2 linked regions of the Oryzias latipes genome follow. The protein of the gene in region 1 interacts with the protein of each later gene in a biochemical or structural test. Links are inferred from orthologs where the notes say so. Each region holds a gene or a part of one and is shown on either strand. Other genes may lie near its edges.

Region 1 (3,827 bases):
TTTTGAAAGGTACATCATTGTAATATATCCTGGGTTCTTTTCTTTCTTCGTAGAAATAACTTTTGTCTGCTGTGTTGATCTTGTTTTTTTTTTTTTTCTCAGGCCGGTCACTGCAAAAGTGTACTCTAAAGTAGAGATCGCACGGCCATCAGCAGCCAAAATTCGCAGCTTGAATCCTACTTTCGGAGGGATGGGTGCGTCACTTACTGGCCTCCGTAACCTTGGCAACACCTGCTACATGAACTCCATCTTGCAGTGTCTTTGCAACACTCCTGCCATGGCTGAGTACTTCAATAGCAATTACTATCTGGAGGATATTAACAGGTAAGACTTTAGAAACAGCAAATGTTTCTTCATATCAAAAACTGTTTATAAAAATCAGGGAGCCAGTTAAAGCTTTATGTTTCATCTTTTGGCAGATCCAACATTCTTGGGCACAAAGGGGAGTTTGCAGAGGAGTTTGGTGTGATTATGAAAGCCCTGTGGGCTGGTTTGTACAAGTGCATCAGTCCACGTGACTTCAAGATCACCATTGGCAAGATCAATGACCAGTTTGCTGGCTATGACCAACAAGACTCCCAAGAGTTGCTGCTGTTCCTCATGGATGGCCTTCATGAAGACCTAAACAAGGTAGTGCATCAGGCCTTTTTAAATGACTTGGCCCAAATGAATTTGCACAAAACTTAAAGTCGGTTACTTATCATTAATACAGAAGACGTTAGACGTTCACAAAGTCAACATGTTTTTTCACTTAATAAAATGGCCCTTCTGAGGACTTCCTTCCACAACACCTGTTTGTTGTTGCACATTTTCCTGTTGACAATTAAAACATTTTTTTTATGAATTTTTTTTTTTTCCTTCTTTCTGTCTTTTATTTGTTTACACTGGGTTTCATTTTGATGGCAAATTTAGAGAGTAAGTAACTGGCTGTGTGTTGTTGGTCCCTCTGCAGAAGTGTTCATGTGCCGTGTCTGTATCTGTCTGCTCCGATGCTTTGTGCAATTCTTTGTGCATGTGGACCCAAAACATGCGTATTGACTGGCTTTATATCCATTTAACAATTTAAACTAATGGATTAACTGGTTAAAATGTTTTTTAAGTTTGTAGTTTAAAACTCTTGGTTACTTCATGAATGTCTGTCAATTTCTCCTTTGTGTTTTAAAATGGGATAGTTCCTGACATTCAGTGAGGAGTTATTGAGGAGAAAAGGATCTTGTGTTGACACTCTTCCCATCACTTCTTTTACGATAGAAAAAAATGGGTGCTGGGTGGCAGCTTGTGCAGGGCTCGACATAGCCATTTGTCCGCTGGCCCGGTCCTGTTTTTCGAGCAGTGCGGACCACAAGACTTTACTTTTCACTTGTCCGCTCGGGCCACTAAAATATCGAACGGTTTATATATTCTTCACCTTTTTCAATAAAGTAAATTTTGCGAAAACGTGTAGATTTACCTCGTCTTCATAATTTAGTTTTTCTGCTAGTCCTGTGTTCAGACTTCAAGGGTTTCTATGGGAAACCTTTGATCACTTCTCCTTCTCTCCCGCCTGCGCGCGCGCGGCTTTCACTGCCGAGCACCACGCGGCACGCGCTCACTACTTTTTTTTTTCAAACTTTATTGAATGTAACAATTCAATACCAAACAATGTTAAACAGCAACAACGAAGGCACAAGCCAGTGGGTTATTATTACATTTGATTATAAATCCGACACCGTCACTGAAGAGAGACTGAAGCATGTCAGAGATGTGGAAGACATGGCAGGAATAGATAGGAATATGTTGGATGGAGTAGTGGGTATAATTAGTAGTATGGACAGCAAGATATTTAATGAATGCATTGAAGATGAAACTGTATGCACTAAGCTTTAAGCTGAATGTCAAAGAATCAAAGGCAACTCCAAATACCTGAATCTCAGACTCAAATGCAGTAGAATGTTAAACTACTTAATTTTGTTTTTCTTTACAACACTGTAAGCAGTAAGTATTTCTAGTTAGCTGAATGATCTCAGTTAGACCTGCACAATATGAGGAAAACTCGCGATATGCGATATCAGAGATTAAAATTGCGATAACGATATAATTTGCGGTATATAAACAAACAGCAAAATAACCAAATAACCATTCCCAGTTTAAAAATTATACTCCAAATGACCCACGTTGACATAGGTTACAAACATCTAACATAACAGGGCTCCATCTGATTGGTCAACAATGTGAAGGCGTCCATCCGATTGGTCAAATGCATTAAGGGATTTATTTGATTCGTTAAATGGTTCAAGCTGCCATTAGATTGTTTTAACAGATTTAAGGTTTATGATTTATTGCGATATTTGCCGTTAGAAGCACCATGAAAACTTCTGAACTAGTGTTACCTACTACACTGCAGTGCTCTCTTCAAAACATCTGAAACAGACTAGAGCAGATTTAAGTTTGATATGGTCTATTTTCAGTCATTGAAAAGTGTAGAAATAAGTGATGTCACCAGAATGCACCAAATTGCACCATATTAAAAGTTTCCGGGGGGGCATGCCCCCGGACCCCCCTAAAGTTGCAAGCACCTGCGGAGCGGCGGGTCCCGCTATGCGCGGTGTCGGGCCAGTAACTTTCAGGCAGGGCCAGTAAGTTTCAAAAACTACTGGCCCTGTGGGCCAGTGCAAATTTCTGGGCTATGTCAACCCCTGTTGTGTTAAACATTTTTCCTGACACACTCCATCCATCATGTCTGTGTGTGATGTTCCGGTCTGTCAGCCATGGCAGGTCCAGTCTGAATCCACTTTGTCGATGTCGATGAGTAGGTCTGCACGGTGTGAGGAAAACTCGCGATTGGCGTTATTAGTGATCAATATTGCGATAATGATATAACTTGCGATACATGAACAAATAGCAAAACAACTAAATACATCATTTGCATTTCACTGCAACAGTTTAATTTAAATGACAGTCAACAACATAACTAAAATCAGAATCCAAATGACCCTCATCTACGGCACATAAAATGCGAGCATCTAACATAAAATGGCTCCATCCGATTGGTCAAATGCATAAATGGATTTATTTGATTCGTTAAAAAAACTTCAAGCTGCCATAAGATTGTTTTACACATTTAAGGTAACCAGTTTTGCAATTTTCAGCGACTTGTGCAATATGTGCATTGCACAGTTTGACATCCCGATAACGATAATTCTGCAATTTATTGTGCAGGCCTATTGATTAGGAAGAACTAAGCTGCTGTTCATATCCTCCTGCTTATTGTAATCAGGGTGAAGTGGCTGATCTGCATGCTCAATGAGGCATTCATTAATTTCTGAAATACTCATAGTTTTCTATATAGTAACAGTAAGTTCAGTTACTGCGGCTGATGTGTTTTCCATCGATACAGTGAGATTAGCAGATGTCTAATGTGAGCCAACATGTCGTTTATCGTCAGGCGGACAATAAGAAACGATACAAAGAGGAGGAAAACGACCATCTGGATGACCAGACCGCAGCTGACCTGGCCTGGAGCAAACACAAACTCCTCAACGAGTCCATCATTGTAGCCCTGTTCCAGGGCCAGTTCAAGTCTACAGTGCAGTGTTCCACCTGCCATCGCAAGTCACGGACGTTTGAGACTTTCATGTACCTGTCGCTGCCCCTGGCTTCCACCAGCAAGTGCTCCCTGCAGGTCAGTCTGAAGCGCTCCCAGCCAGGCTGGCAGTTTTTTTTTTAGGTACAAACCTGAGTTTGTGTGCTGTTACTCTGCAGGACTGTCTGAGGTTATTCTCCAAAGAGGAAAAACTGACCGACAACAACAAAGTGTTCTGCAGACACTGCAAAGCCCACAGAGATTC
Region 2 (3,827 bases), on another chromosome or scaffold:
TCTGTTATTCAAATAACTGGGTTGGAAAGCAGGTGGCAGTGATGATAACCGTAATGATTTGCTAACACTCAACTGCATGTTGTTTTTTCACATTTTTAGAGAAAGCAACCAATGAAAACAACACAACAGATGACTGGGCGCTTATTCTGGACATCTGTGATAAGATTGGAACGACATCCAATGGGTAAACTGCAAGAATTTGTGTTTATTTTGTAATAAGTATGCGTTTAAAAATTTCTAATTATTCAATAACTAACTGTACACATATATTTAAGTGTATAGCATTAATTGTGTGTGTATATATATATATATATATATATATATATATAATCCTGTTTTTCCCTGGTATAGAGCAAAAGACAGCTTAAAATCCATAATGAAGAGAGTCAACCACAAAGTGCCTCATGTCGCCATGCAAGCCCTCAATGTGAGTTGGTTATGAATTTTAAATAATAAAAGAAAATTACCGACACAATTCAAAAGTGGGATTATTTTATGTGTTATATTTGTGTGTGTGATTTACTTGGGATAGTCAGGGTGACAGTTTCATATTTGTGGAATTATAAACTAATATTTAGGTGATACAATATTTCCAAAATACAACACCAATTGTAAAAATAGGCTAACTTCAACCACAGTTTCAATAATGCATTTTTTTGGTCAAGTTTTGCTGATTTTAATTCAAACTAATCAAGTGTTGACTATTCAAAAGACATTCAGTAAGCTTGAAGGATATTAGTCGTAAGGAGGAAAATGGTTCTAGGTTTAGATCTGTTTTCACACACTTAAACAACAGCAGGACAAGTAGCATTTAAATCTAATTTGAACTGAAAAAATACTTTCTTTGTACGGGAAAACCTGTTTTTAAATGAGACTGTAATGCAGATGTCCTGTGTAGTAGAAAACACTGAAATGTTGTCTTTTCCCTCACAGTTGCTCGGCGCTTGTGTTTCAAACTGTGGCAAAATATTTCATTTGGAAATTTGCTCAAGAGATTTTGCCAGTGAAGTGAGATCTGTTTTAAGCAGAGTGAGTCCTTTTTTCTCCTATTTTTATTAAAATTTATGTGCTATTTATCTTTTATTTATTCCTTTATAATAGAATCAACAGTCATGTTGGCCCTTAAACGTCTTAAAAGATTAAATAAAAAGTAGATGTGTTTAATTTTTTTAAACGTCTTTAAAACTTTGAACTGTTTTGGAACTCTGCTTTGAAAGAAAAATGATGATTTCCTTCTGGGTGTGATATATTTGTGTTTTCTGTCCACTGCAGGCCCATCCTAAAGTCTGCGAAAGGTTGAAGGCCCTGATGGTAGAGTGGGCAGAGGACTTTCAGAAGGATCCGCAGCTCAGCCTGATTAGTGCTACTATAAAGTCCCTCAAAGAAGAGGGTATCACCTTCCCCACCGCGTCATCACAGGTGTGTTGGACTCATTCAAACAATGAGCTTTTGCTCCAAAGGTTTTACATCCTCCTTTATGTGAAAGAGGTCAGGCTATAGTCCCACTTAAACATGAGGGTGGCTTTTATAAAGTTTCTGGTATATTTACAGTACACCACACTGAGACTCAGCTGTGATGCAGATTTTTGTTTTAATGTTCTACTGTCATTTTGTGTTTTAGCTGAAGGGAGAAATCCTCCAAGTAGCCCCTCTCAAGCCAGTCTTTTCCTCTAAATTCAGACTTGGCTTCGTGCAATGGTAGCGTCATATATTTTTAGTACAAGGAGCTAAAATATATTCGCAGTTGTTTCTTTAGATCAGGGGTGGGCAATTTTTTTGACTGGCGGGCCACACGGGGTTCTCAAATTGGATAGAAGGGCCGGACCAGGAGCAGATGCGTGGAGTGACAAAGAAATAACATGGAATCTGGATGAAAACATTTGGATTGGAAATTATATTTTAAAAACTGCGTTCTCATTTTAGAGCCAATTGCACCAACGGCTTGATGTACCTCGTGTAAAACTTAAGAGAAATGCTGCGTTCATGTGGTGTTTGAATAATAGGAAGAATAAAAAACAACAAATCTTCCAACACCACATGGATGCCAAAGCGGGGCCCCAAACAATAACTCTGTTTCTTTAAAACTCTTAACTTCTTTTATCTTTCTTTTATTGTAAAGCCCTAAACTAAAGTTTTCTTAAATCATGATCCTTTTAATAAAATAAATAACACTATTTATGAAATAAAAAAAGACCAAATAACTGTGATTTTCAAAGACAAAAAGTCAGGAAAAAATATACTGATGCATTAAAAAGAAAAACCAATGGATCCTCTGGATGGATCCAGTGGATCCTCTGCCGTCATTTTCCCGCTGAGATGTTGATGGCTGCAGCTCCTCACACGTCTCACAGTTTGCGCTGAAACTGAACAGCTGTGTCCTGCACGTCTGTTTGGCGTCCAGTAATAATGAAAAAAGCACATTTCTATGTCTTCTGCTGCAGCTACGCATATATCTGTGTTACCTTTTCACCAGTACAGAGTTCCGTTGTTTGTTGCAGGAGTTACGTTCTAAAAATAACCCGTGATCAGTGAAATCCACAGAGTATACACTTTTCTCAGACAGAACATTTTCACCCTTTTCTCTTGTTTCAATTCTCAAACCTTCATAGAAATTAAGTCCAGGATCTTAGAATGAAAACAAAGATCTGATCGATCCCAGATTTCTGATCTGAAGAGCTCCACGTTTCTGTACAGGAGACACACGGAGGAGATTGATTGACAGGGTCTCCAGCCAATCAGGACACAGAACAGGATGCGCTGTTTTAAAAAACAGCAGCATAATCGCTCTAAAAGAACGATTAAAACCGGGAAAGATGAACTACGACGTAGAAAGGGAAGACTGTCTCTGTTCTGTTTGACAGATTTTAGAGGGTTTCAGGTTGGAGCACAGACTGCAAAAGGGGGGGAATAAAATGTCACGTTCTATGCGCGTCTTGATCGTGTTGCCAGATAAAAATAAATAAACATGGTTCTCTGATATTGTTCAGTGGGCCGGACCAAACATGAAGGCGGGCCGCAGTTTGCCCACCCCTGCTTTAGATGGTTTTCAACTCCTAATAAATGAGTGTGGACCTCAGAAATATTGATGCATTAATTGCTCCTTCTGTCACTGCCTAAAGGTCTGGACTGAATTTAATGAAAGCTTTAGAAGCTATTAGGCAAACGCAAACTTTACTTTAAATTATATTCAAAATATGTTCGTAAAAATCCTGGGATGTATTTTAGTGTCACAATAAATCGTCCTCTAGCTTTTGTTTGTACCTTTTTATTTCTTTCCTAATTGGTTAGGTAACTGGATATTCGTCACGAGTGTTTGTGGACTTTACTCTTAAGATTGTTTTGAAGCAACCGGCCCACATATGCGTCATCTGTGTTGCTGCCCTGTAGAAAAAAGAGTTAAAGGCCCGCTCCAATCATCCTTTGATCTGTTTTAAAAGCTTCTCCAGTTGTCTTTTAGTTATGATAATGTCCTTGTTTGCCAAAATGACAGTTTCTGCAGAGCCGCAAGAGTTCATTAGAAATTCACCTCTGAGGTTTGCTTGAAGATTGTTGGCGCGAAATAACCCTGCCCCCACTTCCCATCACCCATCTGCTTACTCTCTCCGGCTAACTTACAGCCTCTCAGCCCCAACCTAACATTGCCGGTGCAACAAAAGTGGCGAGCAATATTGTAGCTATCCAGCTGTACAGTTTTAAGCCAGAGAAATGTATAAATAGTCAGAAATGCGATTTTAAGTTTAATTTTCTTAATATATGTCTGCCATCATCATAAAAATGCTACAAGAACATATTCATTAACACCAAAATCATATGTTTTTATCAGACTG

The links.
Region 2: the proteins of usp8 (region 1) and stam2 form a complex in vitro, tested with the Homo sapiens proteins (3 studies listed by BioGRID, with this or other methods). The link is inferred for Oryzias latipes from reciprocal best matches to the Homo sapiens genes USP8 and STAM2.

Annotation. Positions count from the first base shown.
Region 1 is NC_019861.2:13,664,554-13,668,380, reverse strand, and holds part of usp8 (ubiquitin carboxyl-terminal hydrolase 8), read left to right. Parts: intron 1-102; coding exon 103-324; intron 325-419; coding exon 420-630; intron 631-3,424; coding exon 3,425-3,661; intron 3,662-3,741; coding exon 3,742-3,827. UniProt on the Homo sapiens protein: Hydrolase that can remove conjugated ubiquitin from proteins and therefore plays an important regulatory role at the level of protein turnover by preventing degradation. Converts both 'Lys-48' an 'Lys-63'-linked ubiquitin chains.
Region 2 is NC_019879.2:4,395,822-4,399,648, reverse strand, and holds part of stam2 (signal transducing adapter molecule 2), read left to right. Parts: intron 1-99; coding exon 100-184; intron 185-351; coding exon 352-427; intron 428-933; coding exon 934-1,029; intron 1,030-1,272; coding exon 1,273-1,419; intron 1,420-3,827.